5 linked regions of the Callithrix jacchus genome follow. The protein of the gene in region 5 purifies or fractionates together with the protein of the main gene of each other region. This does not show direct contact. Links are inferred from orthologs where the notes say so. Each region holds a gene or a part of one and is shown on either strand. Other genes may lie near its edges. The genes, in order: SMAD7, SMURF2, ENG, PSMD14 and TGFBR2.

Region 1 (3,311 bases), on a different chromosome or scaffold from region 5:
TACTCTTCTGTCTGGGCTGGAGGAGGCTTTGTTAGGGTAGCCGGGATAATACCAGTCTCAGGTTGTGATTTGGCATTTTGACACAAATTCACTGTTGTATACAGGGCCGCTGTGGACAAAAATATAGATGTTTTTGTCCCAAGTCACCCTCATTATTATTTTTACCAGATAGAGAGGTCCCTCATGACCACAGCACTGATTTGGGAGCTGGGTGACAGGCACCCAGAGACCGTTGCATAGGTGGCCCCAGGGTCTGGACACCTAGGTTCTTGCTCTGGCCATGTTGTCCCTGGTTCTCCAGCAGCAGGCTTTCTGGGTCCTGGTTTTCTCATCAGGATGACACGGGGCTGGAGGAGCTGGCCTTCCAAGGTTCCATCCAATAGAAAGACCTGTAACTCCAGGATGTGGCTGAGGCTTTTTGCAGCCCTAAAACCGGACCACCCAAGTTAAGAGGCTTGGTTGGCCAGGTGGGCACGGTGCTGGTGTATTCCTGATGGGCAGGGGCCTGCAGAGAAGCAGCACCCAGAGCTTCCTATGCTTAAAGAAAGGCAGGTCCTGGTCAAAGGGCTGAAGGAGCCTGGGCAAGTCCAGGACCCTCCTCACTGCCACCTTCCTTCTGTCCTGTCCTGAGAAATGAGCTTGTGATGGGGGTGTGTATATGTGTGTCTTTATTCTAGGACTCACCCATGCCTGTCCCTACCAACCCTCTCTGCCATTGTGTTTTCTAGATTCCCAACTTCTTCTGGAGCCTGGGGATCGGTCACACTGGTGCGTGGTGGCATACTGGGAGGAGAAGACGCGAGTGGGGAGGCTCTACTGTGTCCAGGAGCCCTCTCTGGATATCTTCTATGATCTACCTCAGGGGAATGGCTTTTGCCTCGGACAGCTCAATTCAGACAACAAGAGTCAGCTGGTGCAGAAGGTGCGGAGCAAGATCGGCTGCGGCATCCAGCTGACGCGGGAGGTGGACGGCGTGTGGGTGTACAACCGCAGCAGCTACCCCATCTTCATCAAGTCCGCCACACTGGACAACCCGGACTCCAGGACGCTGTTGGTTCACAAGGTGTTCCCCGGTTTCTCCATCAAGGCTTTCGACTACGAGAAGGCGTACAGCCTGCAGCGGCCCAATGACCACGAGTTCATGCAGCAGCCGTGGACGGGCTTCACCGTGCAGATCAGCTTTGTGAAGGGCTGGGGCCAGTGCTACACCCGCCAGTTCATCAGCAGCTGCCCGTGCTGGCTGGAGGTCATCTTCAACAGCCGGTAGCCGCGTGCAGAGGGGACAGAGCGTGCGCTGAGCAGGCCACACTTCAAACTACTTTGCTGCTAATATTTTCCTCCCGAGTGCTTGCTTTTCATGCAAACTCTTTGGTATTTTTTTTGTTGTTTGTTGGTTGGTTGGTTTTCTTCTTCTCGTCCTCGTTTGTGTTCTGTTTTGTTTCATTCTTTGAGAAATAGCTTATGAAAAGAACTGTTGGGGGCTTTTTTTTTGGAAGGGGGCTGGGTATGATCGGCAGGACACCCTGCTAGGAAGAGGGGAAGCAGAAATCCAAGCACCACAAAACACAGTATATGAAGGGGGCGGTCATCATTTCATTTGTCAGGAGTGTGTGTGTGAGTGTGAGTGTGTGGCTGTGAGTGTGTGCACGCGTGTGCGGGAGCCACAGATGGGGAGGCGACGTGCTCTTTGTTTTGTGTCTCTGACGGGTGTCCCCAAGCAAAGAGGTTTGCAGCCCCATGTGGTATCTCTCGTGTCCCTTGGACATGGTCAATGGGGCCGAGGCAGTACCTGGGCAAACTGGCAGCTGGGGGTCCCCACAGCTGCCAGGAGCATGGCTCTGTCCCCAGCCTGGGAAAGCCCCCGCCCTTCCTCTCCCACCTCTAGGACACGGGCCTGTCCACAGGCTTCTGAGCAGCAAGCCTGCTAGTGGCTGAACCAGAACCAATTGTTTTTATCCTTGTCTTAATTCCCCTCCCGCCAGCCCCTGCCATTGTAGTGTCTTTCTTTTTTTGGCCACCTGCTCCTGGATCTCTCTGAGATGGGCTTCCCGAGGGCTGCCGGGGCAGCCCCTCACAGTATTGCTCACCCAGTGCCCTCTCCCCTTATCAGCCTCTTCCCTGCCTGCCCTGGTGACATCAGGTTTTTCCTGGTCTTAGAAAACCAACTCAGCACTCCCTGCTCTGAGCCTGGGTGTTGAGCTCTGCTATTAGACCAGCAAGGGGGGACGTCCCTGGGAGGGACATGCTTAGCAGTCCCCTTCCCTCTAAGAAGGATTTGGTCCGTCATAACCCAAGGTACCATCCTAGGCTGACACCTGACTCTTCTTTCATTTCTTCTACAACTCATACACTCGTATGATACTTTGACACTGTTCTTAGCTCAATGAGCATGTTTAGACTTTAACATAAGCTATTTTTCTAACTACAAAGGTTTAAATGAACAAGAGAAGCATTCTCATTGGAAATTTAGCATTGTAGTGCTTTGAGAGAGAAAGGACTCCTGAAAAAAAAAAAACCCTGAGATTTATTAAAGAAAAAAATGTATTTTATGTTATATATAAATATATTATTACTTGTAAATATAAAGACGTTTTATAAGCATCATTATTTATGTATTGTGCAATGTGTATAAACAAGAAAAAGAAAAGATGCACTTTGCTTTAATATAAATGCAAATAACAAATGCCAAATTAAAAAAGATAAACACAAAATTGGTGTTTTTTTCTATGGGTGTTATCACCTAGCAGAATGTTTTTCTAAAGGAGTTTATGTTCCATTAAATGATTTTTAAAATGTACACTTGATACCATGTTGTCTTCCAACTCCTTTTTCTTCTGCTGCTTGGAGGGAGCGGGAGGAGTATTCATCCCAGTTCCGTTGAGTTGGCGTCTTCCCAGCCCCGCTCTTGGAGGAGGGGGAGACATGGGCCCCAAAAGAGAGAGACGTAGAACAGCCCTAGTCTTCAAGTGCTGGAAAGACCTGCAGCTACCAAGACCTCGCTCCCTCCCTCCTGTGTCTTGAATTTGTAATGGGGAACAACCTACCGGAACCCTGTGGGTGATAATTCAAAAGCTTGTAGGATCGAGGAAAGGGAATTACATCTCGGGTGATTGGAAGACCGGATTAGGGGATGGATGGATGGGGAAAGTTAGCCCCAAGAATCTGGATCCCTCTGGTTCTTGCCAACAACCCGCTTGGCGATAATCCCAAACCTACTGTAACTCTGCCAGATTTAATTCCAGGAGGAGTTTCCTGGGGTGAGGCCCTGGAGGGGTGATGAAAGTCGGGGTTGAATGTCAGTGGTGGTCAGA
Region 2 (3,517 bases), on a different chromosome or scaffold from region 5:
GCATGTGTCTGTAATTGCAGCTGCTCGGGAGGCCGAGTCAGCAGAATCGCTTGAACCAGGGAGGTTGCAGTGAGCTGAAATTGCGCCACTGCACTCCAACCTGGTGACAGAGCAAGACTCTGTCTCAAAACAAAAACAAAAACAAACTACAACAAAATATACCCTTGTCCAAAATTAAGAGTAAATCAATACTATAGTATATGTCTATATAGTATCGTGGTATAACTCTGCCATGATAGTGGATCTGGATAGTACAGATTATGTAGACACTTTGTTTTTGAGACACGGTCTCACTCTGTCACCCAGGTTGGGTGCAGTGGTGCAATATCAGCTCATTGCAGGCTCGACCTCCGGGTCTCAAGCAATCCTCCCACCTCAGCCTCCGAAGTAGCTGGGACTATAGGCATATGCCACCAGCCTGGCTAATTTTTGTATTTTTTGTAGCGATGGGGTTTCGCCTTGTTGCCCAGGCTGGTCACAAACTCCTGAGCTCAAGCGAACCACCCGTCTTGGCATCCCATGGTGCTAGGATCACAGGTGTGAGCCATTGCCTCCAGCTTCACACAGACATTTTGAAATAAAACCATATTTTTCCTTTTGTTTTGTTTATTATGGATTACAAATTTATTTGGCAATTAAAAGTAACAGACCAGGCTGGGCGAGGTGGCTCATGCCTATAATCCCAGCACCAGGCCAAGGCAGGTGGATCACCTGATGTCAGGAGTTCGAGACCAGCCTGGCTAATATGGTGAAACCCTGTTTCTACTAAAAATACAAAAAATTAGCTGGGTGTGATGGCGTGCTCCTGTAATACCAGCTACTCAGGAGGCTGAGGCAGGAGAATTGCTTGAACCTGGGAGGTAGAGGTTGCAGTGAGCCGAGATCACACCATTGCACTCCAGCTTGGGCAACAAGAGGGAACCTTTGTCTCAAAAAAAAAGGAAAAAGTAACAGATCACCAGACTATATCATCTTGTGAGTAGTTGAACTGATGGATAATACTGTTATACTCTGACTAAAATATAATAAAATTGCTTAAATTTTGAGTGAGATGTTACTTCAGTGTAATGAAGTAGAGTTTTTATTTGCTGTTTGGGCATGGTAGATTTTTCCCAATGTGGTCTTATATAACTGTACTTAGTGCTTTTTTGCCTTTTATGATTAAAAAAATTATTTCTAAAATGATTAATTAATGGCCTATCTTAACAGAAATATATACATTATCAAAAAAATTCCATGATCATATCTTGTTTTCTAGGGAATGGTTGTATCTCTTGTCACATGAAATGTTGAATCCATACTATGGCCTCTTCCAATATTCAAGAGATGATATCTATACATTGCAGATCAATCCTGACTCTGCTGTTAATCCGGTATGATTTGTTGTTATGATGATGTGAATTAAGTTATGACCTATAATGCTTTTCATCTTTACATGTTAACATAGTTTATTATTTAGAAATTTTTGTCCTTGTCCTAGTTGTACCCTTTGACTCAGCAACTCCTCTTCTACAAAGTTTTCCCAAGCAGATGATTATGGATGTATGCTACAGTTTGGAAACAGGGATGTTTACTGTTTATAGTAGCCCCCAACTGAAAACAACACACTTGTCTTCAAGAGGGGAGACTGATTAAATTATGACATGAAGCAGAATAATGCAAGTGATTAAAGTCGTAGATTCTGGAATTAGAAAGACATGTCATCGTCTCATCACTTACTAGCTTTGTGACCTGTCAGGGCAAGTTCATGGACGTAAGCTTCAATTTTGTCATTGCTAATACATACGTTTGTACCTGGGAGAGGGGTTATGAGAATTAGATGGGACGCTGTACATTAAGCATTTAGCACAGTGCTGTATGTTATTAACTCCACAACTCTATCGACTACATTATTAAGCACTCAACAGAAGTTAGCAGTTATTACTAATGTACTGTTTTTTTGTATTATTTTGTCTTTCCATACAAGGGCATACTAAACAGTCACTAAAATAATAATGTGAGATAATAGTTAATGATATGGAAAGATGGTGTTTATGATGTAAGTGAAAAGAAGGTTATGAAATAGTTTAATGCAACTTTGGTAAATTGTGTGTGTGTGTGTGTGTGTGTGTGTGTTTAAAAAAGAAAAACTTTTTAAGATAAAAAGGTTTAAAGAGGAGCTTAAAAGATTACTTAGTAAATGGGTAAAATAATTTAAAAATACAAACATCTAACAAAACAATCTGTGACGACTGACCAATATATGCAAACAGGGTAGAAATGTTAGATTTCTTTCAGAAAATTATTTAGGGAGGATTTTGAGGTGAAGGTTGCTTGGAGGGCCCACTGCTGCCACTGCAGTGATGATAGCCCACACTCATTGAGTGCTTACCTATGCCAGGTCCAGTTGCATGGGTTTCAAACATCACCTTTTACTCCTCATAGAGATGCTTTTTTAGATGGATACTGTTATTCTATTTCCAGATGTGGACAGTTAGTCCTACAGGAGTTAATTTGTCCATATGCCAGTGACTAGTAGAATCATGATTCTAATCCAAGTCTGACACCAAATCTGTGCTCTTAAATCTATGGTGTTTTGATATTTAATTTCTTGTTAGGCCAAGGAAGTAGGGAGGTTAAGGATTGAAAGATTTTTTTCATAGCAAGGGCTCAGCAGGAGGTGAGAGAAGGAAGAGAAAAGGATCTCCAAGTAGCCGAATGAAGCGCTGGGGGACCATAGTTTGGACTTAATTTCTAAAAGATAAAATTGACAGAATGACTGTGAGAAGGGCCTATTACCCTGTGTAATATGTTGTTCTCTGGTGATCTAGAGACTCCTGAGCATGCCCTAGAGAAATACTCCCTCCTGGCTATATTGAAGAGTACAGATTTGATGCTTACTCTCAAAATATTAATGTTGAAATATTTCATTTTTATTAAAATTTTCCTGAGTAATTTCTGACTCAAGTATATATGCTCTTTTCAATTTCAGGAACATTTATCCTATTTCCACTTTGTTGGACGAATAATGGGGATGGCTGTGTTTCATGGACATTATATTGATGGTGGTTTCACATTGCCTTTTTATAAGCAGTTGCTTGGGAAGTCAATTACTTTGGATGACATGGAGTTAGTAGATCCAGATCTTCATAACAGTTTAGTGTGGATACTGTATGTATTGGGTCTTCTATCGCTTCATTATAGTTAAACTCTGAGCTTTTTTTAAAAAAAAATGTTTCAAAACTGATGTACTTAAAAAAATGACCATACACAGAAAATATTGAGTGGTTATCTGAGTGATGGGATCACATAAGATTTCCCCCTTTCTGTAGCTTCTTTATGCATTTCAAATTCCTTAAACTTAGCAAGTTTACTACGTTCTACGTTAAAAAGGAAAAAAAACTAGTATATTCTATTTTTAAAAGTACTTTATATAATGATTTCCTCAATGTGAGGCAAATCCTGTTCCAAACCTGCATGTGTTAGAATAGCAAATTCTTGCTGCCATTGCTTTTAATGAAGTGGTGATTGTTGGAAC
Region 3 (3,976 bases), on a different chromosome or scaffold from region 5:
CTTGGCTCACTGCAACCTCCGCCTCCTGGGTTCAAGCAATTCTCCTGCCTCAGCCTCCCAAGTGGCTGGGACTACAGGTGCGTGCCACCATGCCCAGCTAATTTTTGTATTTTTAGTAGAGACGGGGTTTCACCATGTTGGCTAGGATTGTCTGGATCTCTTGACCTCGTGATCCACCCCCCTCGGCCTCCCACAGTGCTGGGATTACAGGCGTGAGCCACCGCGCCCGGCCTTGGTAATTTATTAACAGTCTTTGCTCGTGGACGTTTAGATCATTTCCAGTTAGTTATCGGGTTTTTGTTACATGCACCCACAGATCACACATCTTTACAGAGCTGGACAAGTCACTGTAGAAGGCTGACTTCTGAAGGTTGAGTTGTGAGGGTAACAAGTTACATTCAGGAATTCCAGACCCATTTCTTGGATGTCAGGGTCACTCCTACCCCCACCCCCAGCAGGGACCTCTGGGTTCCAGGCCCTGGCCCCAGGTTCCCCTCTGCCCTCCATGGGCCTCAGCTTCCCAGACCACAAATGAATTGGGCTGATGACCTGTTGTACCGTTGAGCCTGTGACCCTTGGTGCACCAGGACCAGCTCCTACCCACTCACAGGACCAGACTGATACATTTCCAGGAGTTTTTCCAACTGGCTGTTACATGGCTATTACTATCTATTTTTTTAAAAAATCCTGAATGTCCAAATTTATTTATTCCTGTTTTACGCCCCCGACTGTCACCTCTACTCCCAACATGATCTGCCCCTGCAGAGACCCTGGAGAACCAACCACCGGGTGCTACTGGGCATTGATTCCCAGCTCTGAGCTTGGGGAGTTGGTGGCTTTTAGTCAGCCGAGTGGGAGTACATATGCTGTGGAAATCCACAAACGCTATCCACAAATTGAGCCCCCCACCCTGTTGGTAATTATTTACCAGCACACCACTGCCTTTGATCCTTTAAAACCAGGCCCTAAACGTCTGCAAGGACCTTTCTCTAACGACCAAGAGGAAGAGAGTGTGACCACGGCAAGAAACAAGGGAGAGGGAGAGGGAAGCCTGGACAGCCAAGGAGGCAGATCCTAGAGCTGAGGCCGGGGCTCTGTCTCAGCCGTGTGAACTTGGCAAGTCAGAATCTCCATTTTCTCTTCTGTAAAATGGGGATGATGGCCGCAGCCATCTTGCAGGGTCCTTGTGAGCCGTATTAAGAGGGGTTGCCCTATCACACCTTGCTAGCAGCAAACGTTTGGGGAGCTGCGGGCGGGGAGTCAAATCCCTGCTAAGTCACTTACTGTGTCTGAAACTCAGTTTCCTATCAATCAGGTGGTGGGAAGAGCTTCAGAGACCCAGAATCAGGGACTCTAAAATGCCGTGGAGTGTGGAGGTGGGGAGAAGGTGGCTGCCCCACTGCCATTTTCCTTCCCCCTTCTCCCCACACTGTTAGCTCACTTTTGCCCCTTTTCCCCCAGATCCCTCAGGAAGCCCCTGCATGCACAGGTGGGTCAAGGGTTGTCCACAGGACCGGTCAGCGGCTTGAGATGCCCGAGGGGTCGGGAGTGGAACATGGGGGTGAGGGTCCCTGGCTCCTTGCTGCCCCTCCTCTGGTCAGTTTCAGAAAGTAGCAGAGGCCATGACCCCTTGGAAGAGTCCCCAGCCCGAGGAGTCCCACAGAACCCCTAACCTGGCCAGCATGCCTAACCTGGCCAGCACCCCCTCCTGAACCCATCCTGGTGATCAGGGAGCCGGGAGGGAGGAAGGGCGGGCCCTGCAGCCTTGGCCTGTTCAAAGGCCCTGGGAGGTAAACTGGAGGAACTTAAAGCTAAAAATAAACAACACAGAAGTGAGCAGCCTGCCAGAGCCCTCTCTGCAGTGATCCTTTACCACCAACCTTCTCAGCAGCTCTGAGAGGGAAGGAAGTCTGTTATCCCCACTTTACTCAGAGGCCCGAAGGCAGTTCCCGAGATCACACCACGAGGAAGACCCTACGTGAGATTTGAACCCAGAGTCAGCACTCAGAGCCCAGGCTGTGGGCCCTCCTTCTCACCCATTCCTCCTTGGAAAACTCGAGGCCCAGAGAGGGCAGGAAACTCTCCCGGGGCTGCACAGCATTCTGGGATCTGGGTTTCCAGTAATGGAACACAGCTGGGAGAACAGACGCCAGAGGCTAGGGTTAAAGTGAATGAGTCAGCCCAGTTTGCCCAAGGCTTTCAACACCCAAAGTCCTGCATAACCCTTTAGTTTCAGCAAACCGGGAGGGTTGGTGACCCTCCAAACCCCCAAGGATGGCCCTGCTGGGCGTGAGCTCAGGATATAGGAAGGAGGCCGGGTACACTTGGGGCCTGGTCTGTGCACCGGAGGCTGAGTCTCCCCATCCCGGGTCCCTGGACACCTACTTGCAAAGCTGAGGCTGCAGCTGGCCAGCAGCATGATGACGACCAGAGGGAGTGTGCCACGGTCCATGCTGTCCACGCCGGGGCCTGTGCGCTGTGCCTTATCCGGTGTCCAGGGGCAGGGCTGCAGGTGGGTGCCGGGGCCGGCGTGGGCTCGCGCGGGGACCCGAAGGGAGCAGGCAGCTGGAGCGACGGCGTCCCTGCTCCAGCCTTCTGAGGTGGCGGCCAAGGGGTCAGGAGAAGTAGACACAGGGATGTGGGGCTGGGCCGGGGTCGCTGTCTGACGAATGGGCGGGGATGGGGTGCTGGGCTCCAGTGGATGGCAGTGACGGCAGCAGTCCTGGCTGGGCGCAGATGGAAGCTGGGCTATGACCAGCAGCAGGGAGCTCCCAGCTCATCCAGCCCGGCCCAGGGAGGCAGGAAATGCGCTTCCTTAGAGAAGGGGCTGGGCTAGGCTGCCTGCCAGGCGGGTAGAGGAAGTGCCACAGGCTTTGTTGCTGGGTGGGGGGCCCTGGGATGGGGGGAGGCAGTTGGATGGGGGGGAGGCAGTTGGGTGGGAGGGAGGACCCAGGCTCTAGGCTTGTCTCCCCAAGCACCCCACCCTCCCATCCCACCCTCTCCAAGGCGGGTGGGTGGGGATGCATCAGGCAGCCCCTAACAGCCTACCGAGGAGCCCTTTCAGGGGGCTGGGCTTGGCTAAAGTAGTTTCTGTGGAATTCATGACCCTACGTGCTCAGTGATCCCATTTTGCAGATGAGGAAACAGAGACCCGATGTGTTGAGATCACTGGTCCAAGAAGATGGCAGTGCTGGGAGCCTGCCTACCTCCACCACCTCACGTCTCTCAGGCACCAAACCCAGCCTACTAAGTGCAGTTGACACAGGGCTGCCCAGCAGGCAGGAAGACTGAGGCTCAGGCTAGGGAGGGAAGTCCCAAAGTGGCATAGCAAGGTGGCTAGGGCCAGGGTCTCTGGGCTTAGAGAAGCTGCCCAGGGCCACATACTTCATGTCTGATGCCTTCATGGGTGGAAAAGCCTTCATGGACAAAAGACAGCTCCAGGTTGGGTGCAGTGGCTCATGCATGTAATCCCGGCACTTTGGTAGGCCAAGGCAGATGGTTCACTTGAGGTCAGAAGTTCGAGACCAGCCTGGCCAACATGGTGAAAGCCTGTCTCTACTAAAAATACAAAAATTAGCTGGGCATGCTGGCACATGCCTGTAGTCCCAGCTACTTGGGAGGCTGAGGCTGGAGAATCACTTGAACCCAGGAGGCGAAGATTGCAGTGAGCCAAGATCAGACCACTGTACTCCAGCCTGGGTGACAGAGAGTGAGACTGTCTCAAAAGAGGAAGAAAAAGACAGCTCCAAATGATGGGGACTTTAATGGCACTTCTGAAGTCAGATGGCTCTGGGTTCAAATCCTGCTCTGCTTACTCTGACCCATGAGACCTTGGGCAAGACCCCTCCCCCCCGCCCTCCCGCTTGCAAAGTAGGGCACGATGGAGCCTTCCTGGCCAAGCTGTTGAGATTTCTGAGGGTCAGGACACTACAGCACTGAGCCCTGGGACATACAGGAGACACTTCCCCGTCGGTGC
Region 4 (3,517 bases), on a different chromosome or scaffold from region 5:
AGTCATTCATCCCCATATATAGAACATTTTTTAAATGTCATATTTCAAAACAATGGAAAAAGTGGTAAGAACTAGTGTTATATGAATGAAAATCTAAATAAGAGAATCTCAAACCTTTTGAATCAAATGTTCAAATTAATCAAACTAACACTCTGCTATTATAGGGTAACTAACTTTTAAGTCCAGTATTTTATGCCTTAAACTGCTGAAGGAATGAGAAAATAAATTTAGCATTAAGTATCATTCAGTTTGCAGACCAGAAGTTATGCTTCATTCTAAAGAATAATGATTTAATTCAACACAATCAAAAAATTTCTATCAATCTTATAATTAATTTTTCCTATTAGAAAGAGAAAATATAATACGATGAGAGTTAGTCTGCATAGGAAAAGAAAAATGAAAAGAAACACATTTAGTTACAGCAGGCAACCATAAAAGTACTCACTGTTCCTGACTGTGGCATAGCAAACACATCAATCACTCTGACGGTATAATCATCAACAAATTCTCCAAGCATCAAACCCATAACTTCCATTGGAACTCCAGCACGACCATGTTTTAACATCTGTAGAGAGGAAGAGATGTGGACACAAAGCAAATTTCTTTGAGGTCTCTGGTTCCTCTTTATAAAACAAAAATCAAATTTTGTTCCAGTGAAAATTAAAAACTTCTTTTATAAATGTACCTAAACCAAGAGGATTAAGGTGGACAACTATTCCAAAGTAAAAGATACAATGAAAGCAACAGAGTTCTCTAAAGCAAGTAAGTACATTGATTACTTACTTTTAACAGTGCCAGGGAAGAGATATAGACTTGTTCTGCTGTGTCCACTGCAGGAGCATCTGTAGGTGGCCCCTAGAAACAAATACATCAATTATTATAAACACACACAGAGAGTTTATGAGTTTAAAATTCAACCTACATGTGGTATAAACTTGATTGTTTTAAAAGAGTTCTGAAGAACATGTCAAGTATCATTTTATTTGGCCACAACATAATCAAAACACATTTGCAAATACCAAACCTGTAGAAAACAGATAAAACTTAATAATCTCTGCCAAGGGCATAACGGACATAAAGTTTAAGTCTTTCAGCAATGCCAATCTGCCTTGGCTGTAATGTACCAATTAGTCACATTTGTTACCACCAGTGTGTGTATGTGAAATGCAGTTGGACTAGCACAATTAAGTAAAGTATCAACACAAATAGCAAATTCTCTGAGCTTCTTGATTTTCAAGTAAAGATAGCATGTATTAACAGATTAAGGCTATGGAATTCCTCTGTAGATTCATTGCTACAGTGGAAGAGAAGGGGAAAGAAGACTTCTAATCCCTGGGTGAAAGAGCTGTGAACAACATCCTCTGCCCGTCACCTAATGAAGCTGTTCCCCTCCCCCTATACAACAAATTTAACACAATTGCCCCAGGTGTGAACAAACCAGTTGAGACAGGTATAGCTGACGTGCAAATACTTCCAAAACCCTGACCACTATCTTTAAAACAACTATTACTACCAATCTTATTACAGGCTAAGGAAAACACTATGTTTCTCCTTTAAGGATTCTATCTTCTTCCTGAAAGGAAGCAAACTTCTCTTGACTATAACATTCAGCTGCACAAGGTAACTGACATACAGTTCTTTCCCTCAAGATGCCTACAATCTTATAAATGCGATTCTGCCCCACATTTAGTGCACAAAGGAAGCTTCTTGTTTTTTAATACTGGACAATCTGAAAAATTATGAGATATGACTTATAATTGCCAGGTCCCGTTCTGCTTAAAGTTTGCTTTCCCTGACAATAACTCTATTACAAATTAGGTAAACAACCTTATCCACATTGTAAGCCATGTTCTCTCTCCAATTTATGCTTTTATATACTGAAATTAACAATCACTTTACATTCCATACTTATAGGTCTCTGTGTGTGTGTGTGTGTGTGTGTGTGTGTGTGTATGTGTGTTAAATTCTATTACTTTGTATTGTTTTAAAAGTTAATAATATTTACTGGAAGCATGGTATAAAAGATTCTAGAATAAATTTTCTCTAAATAAATTTGCTTTTATTTTTGTTCAAAGTGGAGGGAAAAAAAAATCAAGCCCCTTAAATTTAATTTTTATTTTAAATGCCAAGAAATAATGTTGGAAACTGACCAAATTCTTCATCTATTATTACCTAATGCAGTTTTATTGCTTATTTTTCAAATAGCTAAGATTTCTTTCAGAAGGAAAACTGCTAAAGTAAATTAAAGAAATATCAGGCCAAAGCATCTTGCTGATCACCACATAAACCTAATTTTAGTGATATGATAATTTTACTCATTTCACTTAGAAAGTTAAAAAAGATTGGGGCTGGCTTTAGCTCAGCGGTTACTTCGACAATGCTTTCTATGGTTAAAAACAACCACTCTGTGTGGTTCGAGACCCGCGGGTGCTCTCCAGCCCTTTTAAGAAAAGAAAGAAAAAAAGATTAGAAAGTTAAAAACGATTAAGAAAAAGGTGAGGAAAATAGTAAATTAGTTATGATGAGAGGTTTGGGGGAAGTAGTTGTAATCTTAAAATGTTAGGATAATGATAAGGCTTCAGTTAAACAGAAGGAATTGGTTCTGATGATCTATTGCATAGTCTGGTGACTACTGTTAATAATAATGTATATTTCAAAATAGCTAAAAGAGGACTTCAAATGTTCTTAGCACAAAGAAATGATAACTATTAAGGTGAAGGATATTAGCCTTACTTGATCATTCCACACCATACTCATTTATCACAGCATCACCCCCCACCAATATATATAATTATTTGTCAGTTTAAAACAAAATAAAACTAGAAAAATAGGTTAATGAACACTGTATTCATAAAATTATTCCTGGATCCACAGCAACCTTAAACATTGCATATGGAGAAAGAAGTTAAACTGGTATCCTGACTGTAGCTTTAATACAGCCTTTCTCAACTTGCCCAAAAATATTTTTTTTAGAAAAAAGGGAAATAAAACATCACACCATCACCAAAATGCGTTACTGACAGAATCCAGAAACTATTTCTGCCACCAAAGAAGGAAGAAACACTATTTTGTTCGATATTTTATATATAACCAGTACCTAGAAAAGTGCCTGGGGCATAGTAAGAACTTAATAAATACCGATTGAAAGAATGAATGAATAAATTAAGGTACTGCAAGTCAATGGAACAGAAAAGAAAAATACCAACCAGTTACCATGAGAGGGAGCAAGCCACATGTAAGTGGCCTTTCTTCTGATTAATAAACATACTAACAAGAAAGCCATGTACTAAGAGAAAACCATGCAGCTGTTTATTGTATGAGGGCTGGGTTTTTTGTTGTTGTTTTTTCTTTAGACAAGAGTTTCGCTCTGTCCCCAGCCTGGAGGGCAACGGTGCAATCTTGGCTCACTGCAACTCACCCCTCCCAGGTTCAAACAACTCTCCTGTTCCAGCCTCCTGAGTAGCTGGGATTACAGATGCATGCCGCCACGCCAGGCTGATTTTTTGTATTTTAGCAG
Region 5 (3,517 bases):
AAATAGAAAATGTATGAGATGTTTTTACAAAGAAATTCAATACTAAAATATAGATCCAACTTGCAGGCCATTTATCAATTTTTGTCCTTTTGAATAAAATAAACGTGTCTACTGTAGACAAGCCACTATACATAAGGAGGGAAAAGTTTCTTCAGTGCTAGTAAATGTGCCTGGGTATTCTAGTGTTACAGATTAATTCCTTTGGCTTAGCCTAGGCCTTCTTTTAAAAGGTGAACTACTTGAAGAAAGCTGATGTGGTTAAGTCAGAATATCGGGTATTACTATGTTTAGTATGATTTAATCATTTGGATCTCCCTCCTAATTCAAATCACATAAAGAAAATGAGGCCGGGCACAGTGGCTTACGCCTCTAATCCCAGCACTTTGGGAGACCAAGGTGGGTGGATCACCTGAGGTCAGGAGTTTGAGACCAGCCTGACCAACATGGTAAAACCACCTCTCTTCTAAAAATACAAAAATTAGCTGGGCGTGGTGGCACATGCCTGTAATCCCAGCTACTCAGGAGGCTGATGCAGGAGAATTGCTTAAACCTGGGAGGCAGAGGTTGCAGTGAGTCAAGATTGCACCATGGCACTCCAGCCTGGTGAAAGAGCGAGACACCATCTAAAAAAGAAAGAAAGAAAGAAAGAAAGAGAGAGAGAGAGAGAGAGAGAGAAAGGAAAAAGAAAGAAAGAAAGAAAGAGAGAGAGAGAGAGAGAAAGAAAGAAAGAGAGAAAGAAAGAAAGAAAATGAGAGAAATGGACCATTTGTAGGAAGGGAACATAGGAAGGAAGAGTGATCTGGAAAGTGTTGCCCTGACAAGGTGTGCCTGCCTTCAGTTCACTGAGAAGTTGGCCTAGGGGGAGCTGGACAGGAAGAGGGAGAATGGCAGTAGGTGAAGGACACAGGAAGAGAACAAGCTGGATGTGCAGTGCTGCTGAGCACCAAACACGAAACACGAGGACACATCCCTTCTCGGAGGTGGAACACACGTGGCAGCAGAGATAGGGTGTAGAGCCAGCACTTGTGTTCCAAAAAGATTTTTTAATTAAATCAGACCCATTGTTGACTAAACTAACCTTTCGCTTCCCTGAATTTACATTCCTAGAGCCAAAAGAGTACTATTAATATTTATTTACACTACCACGATGGTAAAATTAAAAGATGTATCCATCCCCAGTGTTGGAGAAGGCACATGAAAATCCATGTGTTTACATATTTTTTGGGAGGAGAATAGTTTAGTAGTGTTTATTCAAATTTAAAATGCACATATTTCTAAACCAGAGATTTCACTTCTAGCAATCTGTTTTGCAGAAATATTAGCACAAATACATGAGATAAAGATATTTAATGTAGCACGAAGTGGAAAAACTGACGATACAAAAATAATCCATGCACAGGGTCATGATTAGATCCATCACGGAAGATAATATGAAATTCTAGACTGAAATTGAAAGATGTACAGTATAACTATGTGTTCCATCTTGTTTAGAAAGAACTGTAAAAGTGGTTGGGTGTAAAAAGTGTTGCAATATAACATTTACAATATGATAAAACAGTTGGAGTGAAAGATGGATGAGTGGATGGGACAGATAAAAGATGGACAGAAGGATGAAAGGAGGGAAGGAGAAAGGAAGACAGGGAGTGTTTGGGAGTGGGAGATATGAATGAATGACAGAGATACTGTCATTCAGTGTGTGCGTCCAGTCCATTGTCAATACAGATAATCTGTTGCACTGGGAGTGAGGGGATGAGGGAAATGTACTTTCATTTTTAATTTTCACACACTGTTGGATTGTTTGGAATTTCTGATAAAGAACATATACTAATTTGTAATTAAAAACCAACCACTGAACGTCACTTCTCTTATTAAAAATTGAGGGAAGAGTGTGTGCCTTCCTTTCAAGCTGAGTGAACCCTGAACTTCAAAGATGAAGGCTAGTATCTAATCTACTCTTTTCCTGGCTCCAAGGGTAAACTTTGACTTATTATTTCCTCTCTGTATTTCAATGTTTCTCTCAAATGGGATCAATGACCAGTACCCTACCTGGGACGATGTACAAGAAACAGCTTCAGTTATAAAGCAAGTCCTCCTCCAGGATTAAACAACCCCATCCAAATCTCTAGAATAATGGTCATCAAATTTTAGCTGCACAGAACTACTAGGAGGGCTTGTTAAAATACAGATAGCTGGGATTCACCCGCTGTGTTGCTGATTTAGTGGGGCCTGAGAATCTGCATTTATAACAGGTCCCCAGGTGATTCTCATGCTGGCTGCTCAAGGGGCTGCACTTTGAGAACCACTGCTCTAGGTGAAAGAAACTATTTGTCAAAGACAAATAATAATGTTTGCCCCAGTCAACTAGATTTGATCGGATCCAGTACAAACCTTGCTCCTCCCTAAGCCCCTCTTCCCACCAGCGGAACGGGCTCGTAATCCACTGTACAGAATCCACCACAGGAGGAACTTGGTCCGTGACACTTCAGATCAACAGTGCAAAAAACTGGCACAGATGTCAGGCCCAGTCCCTTCTGAGGAGAAAACTCACCTTCTGAGAAGATGATGTTGTCATTGCACTCTTCAGAGCTACAGGAACACATGAAGAAAGTCTCGCCAGGCTTTTTTTTTTCCTTCATAATGCACTTTGGAGAAGCAGCATCTTCCAGAATAAAGTCATGGTAGGGGAGCCTGGGGTCATGGCAAACAGTCTCTAGTGTTATGTTCTCGTCATTCTTTCTCCTAGAGTGCAGAGATTCATTGAGGGTGAGGGAAGAGGGAGAGAGAGGAGGAGAATAAATGAATACTATGGCCTCCATACAGGAAGGCAATCTGGACTACTTTTCCTTCACAAAGTTGTTCCCTAACAAAGGCCCCTGATTCCTGTTCTCCAGCATTCGCAGGCTGTCCTCTGGTCTCCTGTGCTTTTCTACTTTTTTCTGTTTTTCCTTTGTTTATTCTCGGAACCCATTTGTGGTTATAAACATCACATGGAGCAGACAGTGTTCCATGGGGGCAGTCCTGCTGGAGAATTTTACATATTTAAGTCTGAATTAAATCATTAAAGGAGAAGGCATGGGAAAAAAGAACATTCCTAGGTACTCAGGATCGTTTTAAATCTTCCATCCTGAATGTTATGCAAAGCTCACATCACACCCTCAGTTGAACTGGCAAACTCTGTCCTGTCTAGCTAAACTGTGTTCAAAGAGCGTGCCTGGGGAGATAGTCACAGTTCCTCTTTTTTTGTTTGCTGGGCCTCAGAGCATTGTGTATGAAGGGCATACTCCTTGTCAACAGCTGGTTCTGCTGAGAAAAATGGGAAGAACCATCCCAGATAAAGAACTGCAGTCTTTCCCAAATTACAGAAAGGCGCAATCAGGAAAAAAAAAAAGGGAAAGGATTTCAGGGTGTTCTTCACTCACAGCTCAATGAAATATTTTATGCTGTCATTAACTACTTTTACATTTAGTATCCCTTCCTAGCATATATTTGAAGACTAATTCAGCCCAGGGCTCAGAGA

The links.
Region 1: the proteins of TGFBR2 (region 5) and SMAD7 purify together in Homo sapiens (affinity purification with western blotting; 3 studies listed by BioGRID). This does not show direct contact. The link is inferred for Callithrix jacchus from reciprocal best matches to the Homo sapiens genes TGFBR2 and SMAD7.
Region 2: the proteins of TGFBR2 (region 5) and SMURF2 purify together in Homo sapiens (affinity purification with western blotting; 3 studies listed by BioGRID). This does not show direct contact. The link is inferred for Callithrix jacchus from reciprocal best matches to the Homo sapiens genes TGFBR2 and SMURF2.
Region 3: the proteins of TGFBR2 (region 5) and ENG purify together in Homo sapiens (affinity purification with western blotting; 3 studies listed by BioGRID). This does not show direct contact. The link is inferred for Callithrix jacchus from reciprocal best matches to the Homo sapiens genes TGFBR2 and ENG.
Region 4: the proteins of TGFBR2 (region 5) and PSMD14 purify together in Homo sapiens (affinity purification with western blotting; 3 studies listed by BioGRID, with this or other methods). This does not show direct contact. The link is inferred for Callithrix jacchus from reciprocal best matches to the Homo sapiens genes TGFBR2 and PSMD14.

The regions. Positions count from the first base shown.
Region 1 is NC_133514.1:92,026,003-92,029,313, reverse strand, and holds the end of SMAD7 (mothers against decapentaplegic homolog 7), read left to right. Parts: intron 1-728; coding exon 729-1,267; 3' UTR 1,268-2,802; downstream 2,803-3,311. UniProt on the Homo sapiens protein: Antagonist of signaling by TGF-beta (transforming growth factor) type 1 receptor superfamily members; has been shown to inhibit TGF-beta (Transforming growth factor) and activin signaling by associating with their receptors thus preventing SMAD2 access.
Region 2 is NC_133506.1:89,826,455-89,829,971, reverse strand, and holds part of SMURF2 (E3 ubiquitin-protein ligase SMURF2), read left to right. Parts: intron 1-1,258; coding exon 1,259-1,373; intron 1,374-2,971; coding exon 2,972-3,150; intron 3,151-3,517. UniProt on the Homo sapiens protein: E3 ubiquitin-protein ligase which accepts ubiquitin from an E2 ubiquitin-conjugating enzyme in the form of a thioester and then directly transfers the ubiquitin to targeted substrates.
Region 3 is NC_133502.1:176,480,102-176,484,077, forward strand, and holds the start of ENG (endoglin), read right to left. Parts: upstream 2,810-3,976; 5' UTR 2,453-2,809; coding exon 2,386-2,452; intron 1-2,385. UniProt on the Homo sapiens protein: Vascular endothelium glycoprotein that plays an important role in the regulation of angiogenesis. Required for normal structure and integrity of adult vasculature. Regulates the migration of vascular endothelial cells.
Region 4 is NC_133507.1:68,442,665-68,446,181, forward strand, and holds part of PSMD14 (26S proteasome non-ATPase regulatory subunit 14), read right to left. Parts: intron 856-3,517; coding exon 784-855; intron 566-783; coding exon 446-565; intron 1-445.
Region 5 is NC_133518.1:68,878,741-68,882,257, reverse strand, and holds part of TGFBR2 (TGF-beta receptor type-2), read right to left. Parts: intron 2,740-3,517; coding exon 2,549-2,739; intron 1-2,548. UniProt on the Homo sapiens protein: Transmembrane serine/threonine kinase forming with the TGF-beta type I serine/threonine kinase receptor, TGFBR1, the non-promiscuous receptor for the TGF-beta cytokines TGFB1, TGFB2 and TGFB3.